Linked DNA regions of Oryzias latipes. The protein of the gene in region 1 interacts with the protein of each later gene in a pairwise test. Links are inferred from orthologs where the notes say so. Each region holds a gene or a part of one and is shown in the gene's direction. Other genes may lie near its edges. The genes, in order: myod1 and id2.

Evidence for each region.
Region 2: the proteins of myod1 (region 1) and id2 interact in a two-hybrid assay, tested with the Homo sapiens proteins (2 studies listed by BioGRID). The link is inferred for Oryzias latipes from reciprocal best matches to the Homo sapiens genes MYOD1 and ID2.

Annotation. Positions count from the first base shown.
Region 1 is NC_019864.2:6,432,481-6,436,900, reverse strand, and holds the start of myod1 (myoblast determination protein 1), read left to right. Parts: upstream 1-1,351; 5' UTR 1,352-1,554; coding exon 1,555-2,142; intron 2,143-2,826; coding exon 2,827-2,908; intron 2,909-4,110; coding exon 4,111-4,334; 3' UTR 4,335-4,420. UniProt on the Homo sapiens protein: Acts as a transcriptional activator that promotes transcription of muscle-specific target genes and plays a role in muscle differentiation. Together with MYF5 and MYOG, co-occupies muscle-specific gene promoter core region during myogenesis.
Region 2 is NC_019880.2:11,295,516-11,299,600, forward strand, and holds id2 (DNA-binding protein inhibitor ID-2), read left to right. Parts: upstream 1-1,495; 5' UTR 1,496-1,602; coding exon 1,603-1,959; intron 1,960-2,104; coding exon 2,105-2,161; 3' UTR 2,162-2,165; intron 2,166-2,806; 3' UTR 2,807-3,562; downstream 3,563-4,085. UniProt on the Homo sapiens protein: Transcriptional regulator (lacking a basic DNA binding domain) which negatively regulates the basic helix-loop-helix (bHLH) transcription factors by forming heterodimers and inhibiting their DNA binding and transcriptional activity.

The DNA of each region.
Region 1 (4,420 bases):
AAAATAAAATACAACCGTTGTTATTCGCCAGGGGCCTCCGAACTCTAAAGTCCGCCACTGACGACAACATTTACCCTGAGACGCAATGCGAATGTGTGGGGGGGATCAACACCACAATGTGTCTCTTGGCCGCACATATTAAGTGTTTTTCTGTCTGGTCCTACGTAAATATGTGCAAATAACAAAAAGAAAAGTAGATTTTGAAAATTATTAAGATCATTTCTGAGTAGAATTGATGTGAATACATGAAAACCAAAGCACAGAGACACTCAGTTAGCATTATTTTCACAACTATTGTTGTAGTTTAGAATAAATACCGACTTTTTGAATATGGGAAAGCAAAACCTTTTTTTCATGCCATTTTTCTCCATTAAAACAACAACTTTGTGGTGTTTTTTAAAAAAAAAAGAGACTTCATTTGTTTTTCAAAATAGCTCTAAAAACAACCAAAGCTCGTCTTGCATTGCCAGCTTTTCACACATTTCTTGCTGCTCATTAAATGTTCTGCTGACAGTCTTTTCTTTCAGTGCAAACATTTCATTTGTCTCTGACATTCTGAATTGCCTCATTTTTCCTACTTACAATGAAAACAAAAAAAAGAGTGGTGTGTGCGCATGTGAAGGTGCGTTCCAGAGCGCGCTCCACGCAGTTTCATGAACACTCATTCGGTGTACAGACCGGACGGACCAGCGCCAGACACGCAGGTACCTGCAGGGGCGGTTCTTCTTTTCATCAGCGCTCCTCCGCCACCTACAATATATTTATTGTAATTAAATCAACTTATTGGAAGAGGTTCGATCTGCAAAATCAAAGCGGTTCAATTCCCTCAAATCTTGCTCCAGCCTTTTTGTTTTCACAGATCTGTTCCTATAAATGTCCATCTTGGTGTCATTTTATTCCGGCCAAAAACAAACCGCAATTATTCATTTCTCCTTAGTGATCATGTTTACAACGGTTGATAACTGTTTCTTGAAAAGACGCTACAAACACTATCAAATCCTAATTTCTGATTGGTCACAGCGCTGCGTTGCTGAGATTCAGCGTGAAAAAGTTCAACCGGTTGAACTTTCAGCGCGCGACCAACGAACGCTTGATTTGTTTGTAGGCTCCGCACCCAACTTAAAAACCTGCTGGTGATGTGCGACCGCTAGCCTTCCAGACGCCACAGCCCCAAATTCTGGTGTGTGCGCATTCAAAGAGGCGCTTGAACACGGGTGTGTAAGGCGGAAATGCGTGTGCGGCCTTCCTTTAGCTGTTCCGTTAACTGCAGGCCTCTAATTACCGTGCAGTTGTAACCCCTCCACTTACACACACGCACACCCCTGCAGCTGCCCACCGATTGGTCACACTCCTCTGACCCCTTGGCCCCCCTGCCTGCTGCTGATGTGCCAGGTATAAGAGGCTTCAGGTCAGCAGTAGTCCAGTTCAAAACTCCTGACAGGACCCACATTACCGGACCCGCGGATCGCGAGTCTCTCTTCGGTTTGCTGGATAGCTCGGCTCGGCCCGTTGATCTCAGTATTTCTTTTCTGCGGGCCTGTTTTGGACCGGGTCATGGAGCTGTCGGATATTCCTTTCCCCATCCCGGCTGCTGATGATTTCTATGATGACCCCTGTTTTAACACAAGTGACATGCACTTCTTCGAGGACCTAGACCCACGGCTAGTCCATGGCGGTCTGCTGAAGCCGGATGACTCCTCTTCTTCCCCCTCATCCTCTCCTTGCTCGTCCTCCTCCTCCCCGTCCTCCGTCCTCCATGTGCACCAGCGCGCGGAGGTGGAGGACGATGAGCACGTCCGTGCGCCCAGTGGCCACCACCAGGCGGGCCGCTGCCTGCTGTGGGCCTGCAAAGCCTGCAAGCGGAAAACCACCAACGCAGACAGACGCAAGGCAGCGACGCTGCGCGAGCGCCGGCGCCTCAGCAAGGTCAATGACGCCTTCGAAACGCTGAAGCGCTGCACGTCAGCCAACCCCAACCAGAGGCTGCCCAAGGTGGAGATCCTGCGCAACGCCATCAGCTACATCGAGTCCCTGCAGGCGCTGCTGCGCGCCGGCCAGGAGGATGGCTTCTACCCGGTGTTGGAGCACTACAGCGGGGACTCGGACGCGTCCAGCCCCCGCTCCAACTGCTCTGACGGAATGGTGAGTCCGCTGTTCGGACAAGCTGCGAAGGCTGGAGCTACAGCGCGTCTTTACGCATGGAGTCTTGACTTAGTTAGTCGTTTCATGACGGCACAAGTTTTTACAAAACTTCAGTAAAAAAGAAAAGAAAAAGGAAAGGCAACTTTCACCGTTTTAGATTCGATTATACAGGCGCGTTACTCAGTTAATTCAGAGGATTACCAGTTACTACCTCTCCCGAAAATAAGATTTTTAAACGTAAAACCTTTTCTTTTTTTTTTTTAATCGTGAAAATCTTTTTTACGTATTTCTTGAATAGACTGACAGCGTCGTTTGGAGCAGTTCGCTGCTTGAATAAAAATCGGTTATAATTTGCACCAAACATCCGGATTTATTCAAACGAATTTCCTTCATAAAACATACGAGTCCCGTCATTAGGATTTCTATTATTTGACAAATTTCCTTTTATAACGCGTGCGAAACACTCAGGAAGATGAAATAATAATATTGTTGCTGCTGTTTTGTGCTTGTTTGTTCAAAGAAAGCCCATATATATATATATATATATTCCAGTTTAAAAATACACGAGTGTTTACTATCGGAAAATATCCCTTGTGTTGATATTTCAAAAATGTGACATTGTGTAAATTGTGTTTTATTTACTCTTTTGGCGTGCTCTAAAAAAAGCATTGTGTTTTATTCCAGACTGACTTTAATGGACCGAGGTGTCAGACGACGCAAAAGGGGAGTTATGACGGCGGCTCCTACTTCTCCGAGGCTCTGAACGGTGAGCTGCGCGCGGGCCAGAGGGGGCCGCGTCACGCGCCAACATTTTACACAGGAAAGATCCGATTTGCGCTTTAACCAGCCGACAGCATTGCTCATCTGAAATGATAAAGCGTTTGCAATCTAACTAAATCTGTTCATGAAGCCAAAGATGTGCTTTTATTTTTGCTAAATAAATTTAGTTTTCATGAGGTTAAAGAAAACAATGACATTCTCTATAAATTCTATAAATGAGAAAAAGGATATATATATAGATATATATCTATATCTATATTTACAGCTGAGCAAGTATGTCAGAGCTGAAGGCCTCTTGTGTTGGACAAATTTTACTTTTACAACAGGACTTTATGGATCTTTAGACAAACACAATTTATTTAGGGGTTAATATCCTTCAAAGGGTGCATTATTAACGCTTGCCGTGTAAGCCTGCGTTGAACTGCAAAGTGCATTAAAAATATGAACACTTTGAAGTAAATCTACTCACTTATACCATGGTGACTTTCAAAATAAATAAATAGTCAACCAGTACTTTATTCTGGTCATTTTTACGGTTTAGATTGCTTTTTCACAAAAGCGAACTATTTGTCATGCGGTGCAGCCTGTTGTCACAGTAACATGCCACTTAGCCAACCTCGAGTGGTGCGGCAAAGGAAAGTGATATCTATGCTGATGATCACGATGGGTTGAATAAAGCATCAGTTCAGAGAGAAAGTTCTCCTGTCACTGATCATTTTTGTCCAGATGATGAAGCTAAAGATTCTGATACAGAACATTTAAGATATGTGACCGGAACTGCTTTTTAGATGTACATTAACACATTTTTATCCACACCCAGCAGCCAATCAGAATCGAGTATTTCCCTGGACAATGGTATCAATTGGTGTAAACCCCTTATGTATTTGAGGTTAGGCTTTATTCATAATAATTATGTTTATATGCATTCTTTGTTGGACCGGACGGAAAACAAGAAGAGAGAGAGTGGATGTTAGAGATGGGGGGTGGGGGAGCAGTGGATAATACAGAGTCAAGAGTGTCATAAGTAAACTGCATGACTTGGTTCTCACACACACACACACACACCCACACACACACACACCAATAAATAGTCTGCACACAGCTGTTTACAGGTTTTATTCACACATAGAGGAGTGACCTCACAGTCTAGTTTGAATCATGTTTGACTGACGGTGTTTTCTGCCGTAGGAGGCCACAGGAATGACCGCAGCTCCGTCGTCTCCAGTCTGGACTGCCTGTCCAGCATTGTGGAGCGGATCTCCACCGACAGCAGCTGCCTCCCAGCCACGGCCGATGCTCCTGCCTCCCCGGCCGCCGCTGCGCTCAGTGAGACAGAGCGCGGCCCTCGGGCCGCTCCGACCTCTTCTCCGGCCTCCAGCCAAGACCCGAACCTGATCTATCAGGATCTATAGACCCTGACACCCTTGATGAACAGCAATGCTGTGGCACCGTGTGGAAATGAGCTCACAGACATGGAAACTGTTTAATTAGTTTGGCT
Region 2 (4,085 bases), on another chromosome or scaffold:
CACTGAAATATCCTAAACGCATATGTAGAAATAGATATTTTTCCATAGGGATATTCTTAATAAAATGTTGTTTAAGAGTTTGGGGAAACTTTTAATTAACAGGAGAAAGTTAAACTCTCACTGAGTTTCAGTGGATTCGGTGCGTAAAGGAAGCAATCCTTTGCTAAAGTTTAGTTTGGAGTGCACCAAACCCGGCAGACCCAACTCGGACCGCATCGGTGTTCGTAGCTCCCCTGTTCGGGCGGGATCAGCTGAGAACCTCCGACCGACATCCTTTGAAAGCCCGTGTCCATGGAAACCGCCTCAGCGGCGCCGCGAGGGCTCGGCTCGAGGGCTGCTGTGAATAGGGTGACGTCACGTGGCCGGCGCCAGAGAGTCTGCTCCGGAGGGAGAGAGAGGAGAGAGGAGAGGAAGAGGAGAGCAGAGGAGGACGCAGGGCGCGGCTTTTTTTGCACCGACGTGCTCTTGCGCCGATCCATCACCTGTCTGTCAGGCTTCAGTCAAGAGCGCGTGAGCAGAGGTGCACAGCTGCAGGAGCGACGGGGGAAGGAGGGGATAATGGGAAATGTGCATTTCAGCAGATGTGGACCCGTGGATGATGCAGAAAAACATGATGCGCCGCTGGAGTTTGGTCTTTTGTGTATTTAATAAACATCAGTTATATTTCAAAATAAAAGTCAATCTCCTGTCATCTTTTTTTTAAAATAAACTTTCAAATTAAACCTAAAATATGTCACCTGGACCAAACTTTATCCGCATCGAAACTCCATCTGAAGGGGAAGAAAAGAACATCTGAAAGCATTCAATTACAGTTAATCACCTCTTCAGGACTCCCTCACTCACCTCAAGTGCAGATTAAGATCACTACAAAAACAAAAGGCTATTTAACACCCCCCCCCCCCCCCCTCAAAGAAATCATGCAAAAACTAAAAATTCTAGCATATAGAAGTGGATTAACCCAGATTCCTCTGGCTATTATCCCTAAAAAATAAAAATTATAAACATTAAGATTTGGCTTTAATCATCATAGAAAGTTGTGTTTACGGTTAATAGGTTTAATTAACAAACATTTTTAGTAAAATTCAGTTCCATAAATGCCGAGTCTGTGCCATCACATCAGATTTTTGAACATTTAGGTCCCAAACTGTCAAATATTTCAAAAAGCCGCTACACTTCTTCTCAATTTTCCATCCTAATTTATTAATAATTTGATTTTAGAAGTATGAAAACGCTGCTTTTATCATCCAGTTTACGTTTGAATCATTCATTTTCTTGATCAGAAACAGGTAAGGGCTTAATTTTCCCAAATTGCCCACCGGAGATGAGAAGTTCCGCCTCCGGCCCCGCGTTGCCACTGGTAACGTTTTACAGAAGGGGCGGGGATTTCAGCAGCCAATGGGAGCGCCGGGAAGGCGTTGAGTGACACAAGGGCGCTGTCCAACCCGCGCGCTCGGCCCGCCCACTCGGCACACACTGCCCTGCTGCCTATTTAAAGGCTTGTGACAGCTCTGTATTCCAGTCTGAGCGCAGATCGGCTGAGAAAACGGGACTAAAACCAAACAAACATAGAAGAGAAAACAGAAGAAGAAGAAAACTTCGAGAATGAAAGCAATAAGCCCCGTTCGGTCCTTCCGGAAAAACGCCGTGAATTTAACGGAGCACTCGTTGGGAATCTCGCGGAGCAAGACCCCGGTGGACGACCCGCTCAGCCTGCTGTACAACATGAACGACTGCTACTCCAAGCTGAAGGAGCTGGTGCCGAGCATCCCGCAGAACAAGAACGTCAGCAAGATGGAAATCCTGCAGCATGTCATCGACTACATCCTGGACCTGCAGATCGCGCTGGACTCCAGCGTCGCACTGAGCAGCCTGCATCACCCCGCGCGGCCGGGGCAGACCGGCGCATCCAGGCCCCCCCTGACCACCCTCAACACAGACATCAGCATCTTGTCATTACAGGTAATTACACTGCTTTTGTTGTTGTTTTTGGTTTGTTTTTTTGGGTAGGGGGATGCGCCCCCCCCCCCCTTCTCATTCCTATTGTTGGGAAATGAAACCATGAGACGCGTTTTGACGCTTTGGCTCCGCGTTTGTTTGTTTGCAGTCCCCGGAGTTGCCATCAGAGCTGATGACAGATGACAGCCGGACTCTGCATCGTTAAGGCGGTAAGTGGGGCTGTCCCTCCTGTCTGTCTGTCTGTCTGTCTGTCTGTCTGTCTGCTGCATTCTCTGGCCAGGGCTTTCCACGCTCCCGCAGCAAAATCGGCTGTCGCGGGGGAATGCGTCACTCCCCCGACAGCCATTGGAAACGGGATTCTAAAAATGAATAAAAACGCGCGTCATCGGTGCCAAATAAAAACAAATTAGAAGCATTTCCAGCGTATGGAAGAAGTAGCCGTCAGGGTTCTATTATCCCCACTTGTGCCTGTAATGAAGAGCATCTGCAACAGGAAAAATAATGGCTGTTTGGATTACTGCTACTACGATGTCTGCACATAATTGGTACAAGAAGTGGGTAGGCGCCAGCTGAGCGGCAATTACGCTGATTCTTCCCCAGATTGTAGGCTGAAGTTGTGCGAAAAATGTGCGCGCGCCTTCCCCCTTCCCTCCCTCCCTCCTCCTCCCCCTCTCCTTGTCGTGAGCGCTTGTGCGTGCGCGTACATCTGGAGCGCAGAGTTTGCTTAGTATTGGGAGTGTTTGGTTAAATGTTAAAAAACTGCGGCTTCCTCCCTGGCGCCAGACTGTCCGGATCTCTGCCCTGTTTGCGTTTTCTAAACACGCCTCTCCTCCTTCTCAATCTCTTGCAGGTGTTTGGTCAAGACGCAAAAAAAAAAAAAAAAGAAAAAAAGAAAAAAAAACCCACACCAGGACCTGAGGAGCAACCCATCCAACACCATCCAACTGCAGTTCCTCAGGCCTGGATGTTTTTTTTCTTTTCATTATCCCCCCTGAAATCAAGACTCTTACTTCAAAAAGAAAAGAAAAAAAAGGACAATCTCCTGTGATGTGACACTTTCATTATTATTTAACTTAAGACTTTTTTTTTTTATTTGTGGGTCCTTTCTGGAAATGGAAGGAAGGCGCGATATGTTCCCGACAACGGGAGGAAAAAAGGGGGGAAAGAGGAAGAAAGAAGGGGGGGGGGGGATTGTCACAAGGATTACCACCTCCCCTCTTCTTCCTCACCTCCCCGTGACCCCCCCCCCCTCCCTCCTTTCTCTCCTTGTTGATCTCTTCGCTTTTTCTGCGGAGGTGGGAACTTGTACAGAAACAAGCAGTTTGGTTAGTTACTGTTCAAAGAAAAAAATGTTTAAAGTTTAGTCTTGTCTTGTCAGAAATGTTGGCACACGAAGGACTGGACAATGTTTAAGAAAAAACAAAAAACTTGATTTAAAAAAAAAGAGAAAAATCTTGTGAACTCTCACCAGGAGTTGTATAGTTGCAGGAATTTGAAACTTCTGCAAAAGTGTATTGCTGTACTTAATTATGCTGAAACTTTTTATAAAAGTAATGTAAATTGTACCTTTTTTTAAATATAAAAAATAAATCAAAGTGCAACTTGATTTTTCTTGGCTTTTTCATTGCATTCAGATCTGAAAAAAGTGCAGACATTCTTGTTTAAAAAAAAATCTAAAAAATGAGGCGCTTTTATTTTGGTGAATTAATCAAACCGTAAATGCTATCTTTTTTTAAACTCAGGAATCTGTCAGATCATCTTTTCATCCCATCAAATCCATTTTGATAAACTAAATTTTCCTCAGTGTAAAAATAATTCTACAAAAAAGCAGAAATGTTGGATATTTGAACCAAATGTTGTCCAAAAAAAGTCAATGTCCAGAAAACATTGACATTCCTGTACATCTACTTTAAAGTTGACTGCGTTCACGCCAAACCGCAGCAGGTTTGTATAGAAATTGCGCCATCTGTCGGACCACAAGAGTCCTGCAGTGGTACTTTTCTCATTCTCCCTTTTACCCTGAAATTACATTAAATTAGTGTTTTACATTCAAGATCAATGTTTTTTTTTCTTTTTTTAGTTGAGGCTGAAAGGCGAGAAATTTCAAAACCAAAACATGTTTTTAAGAA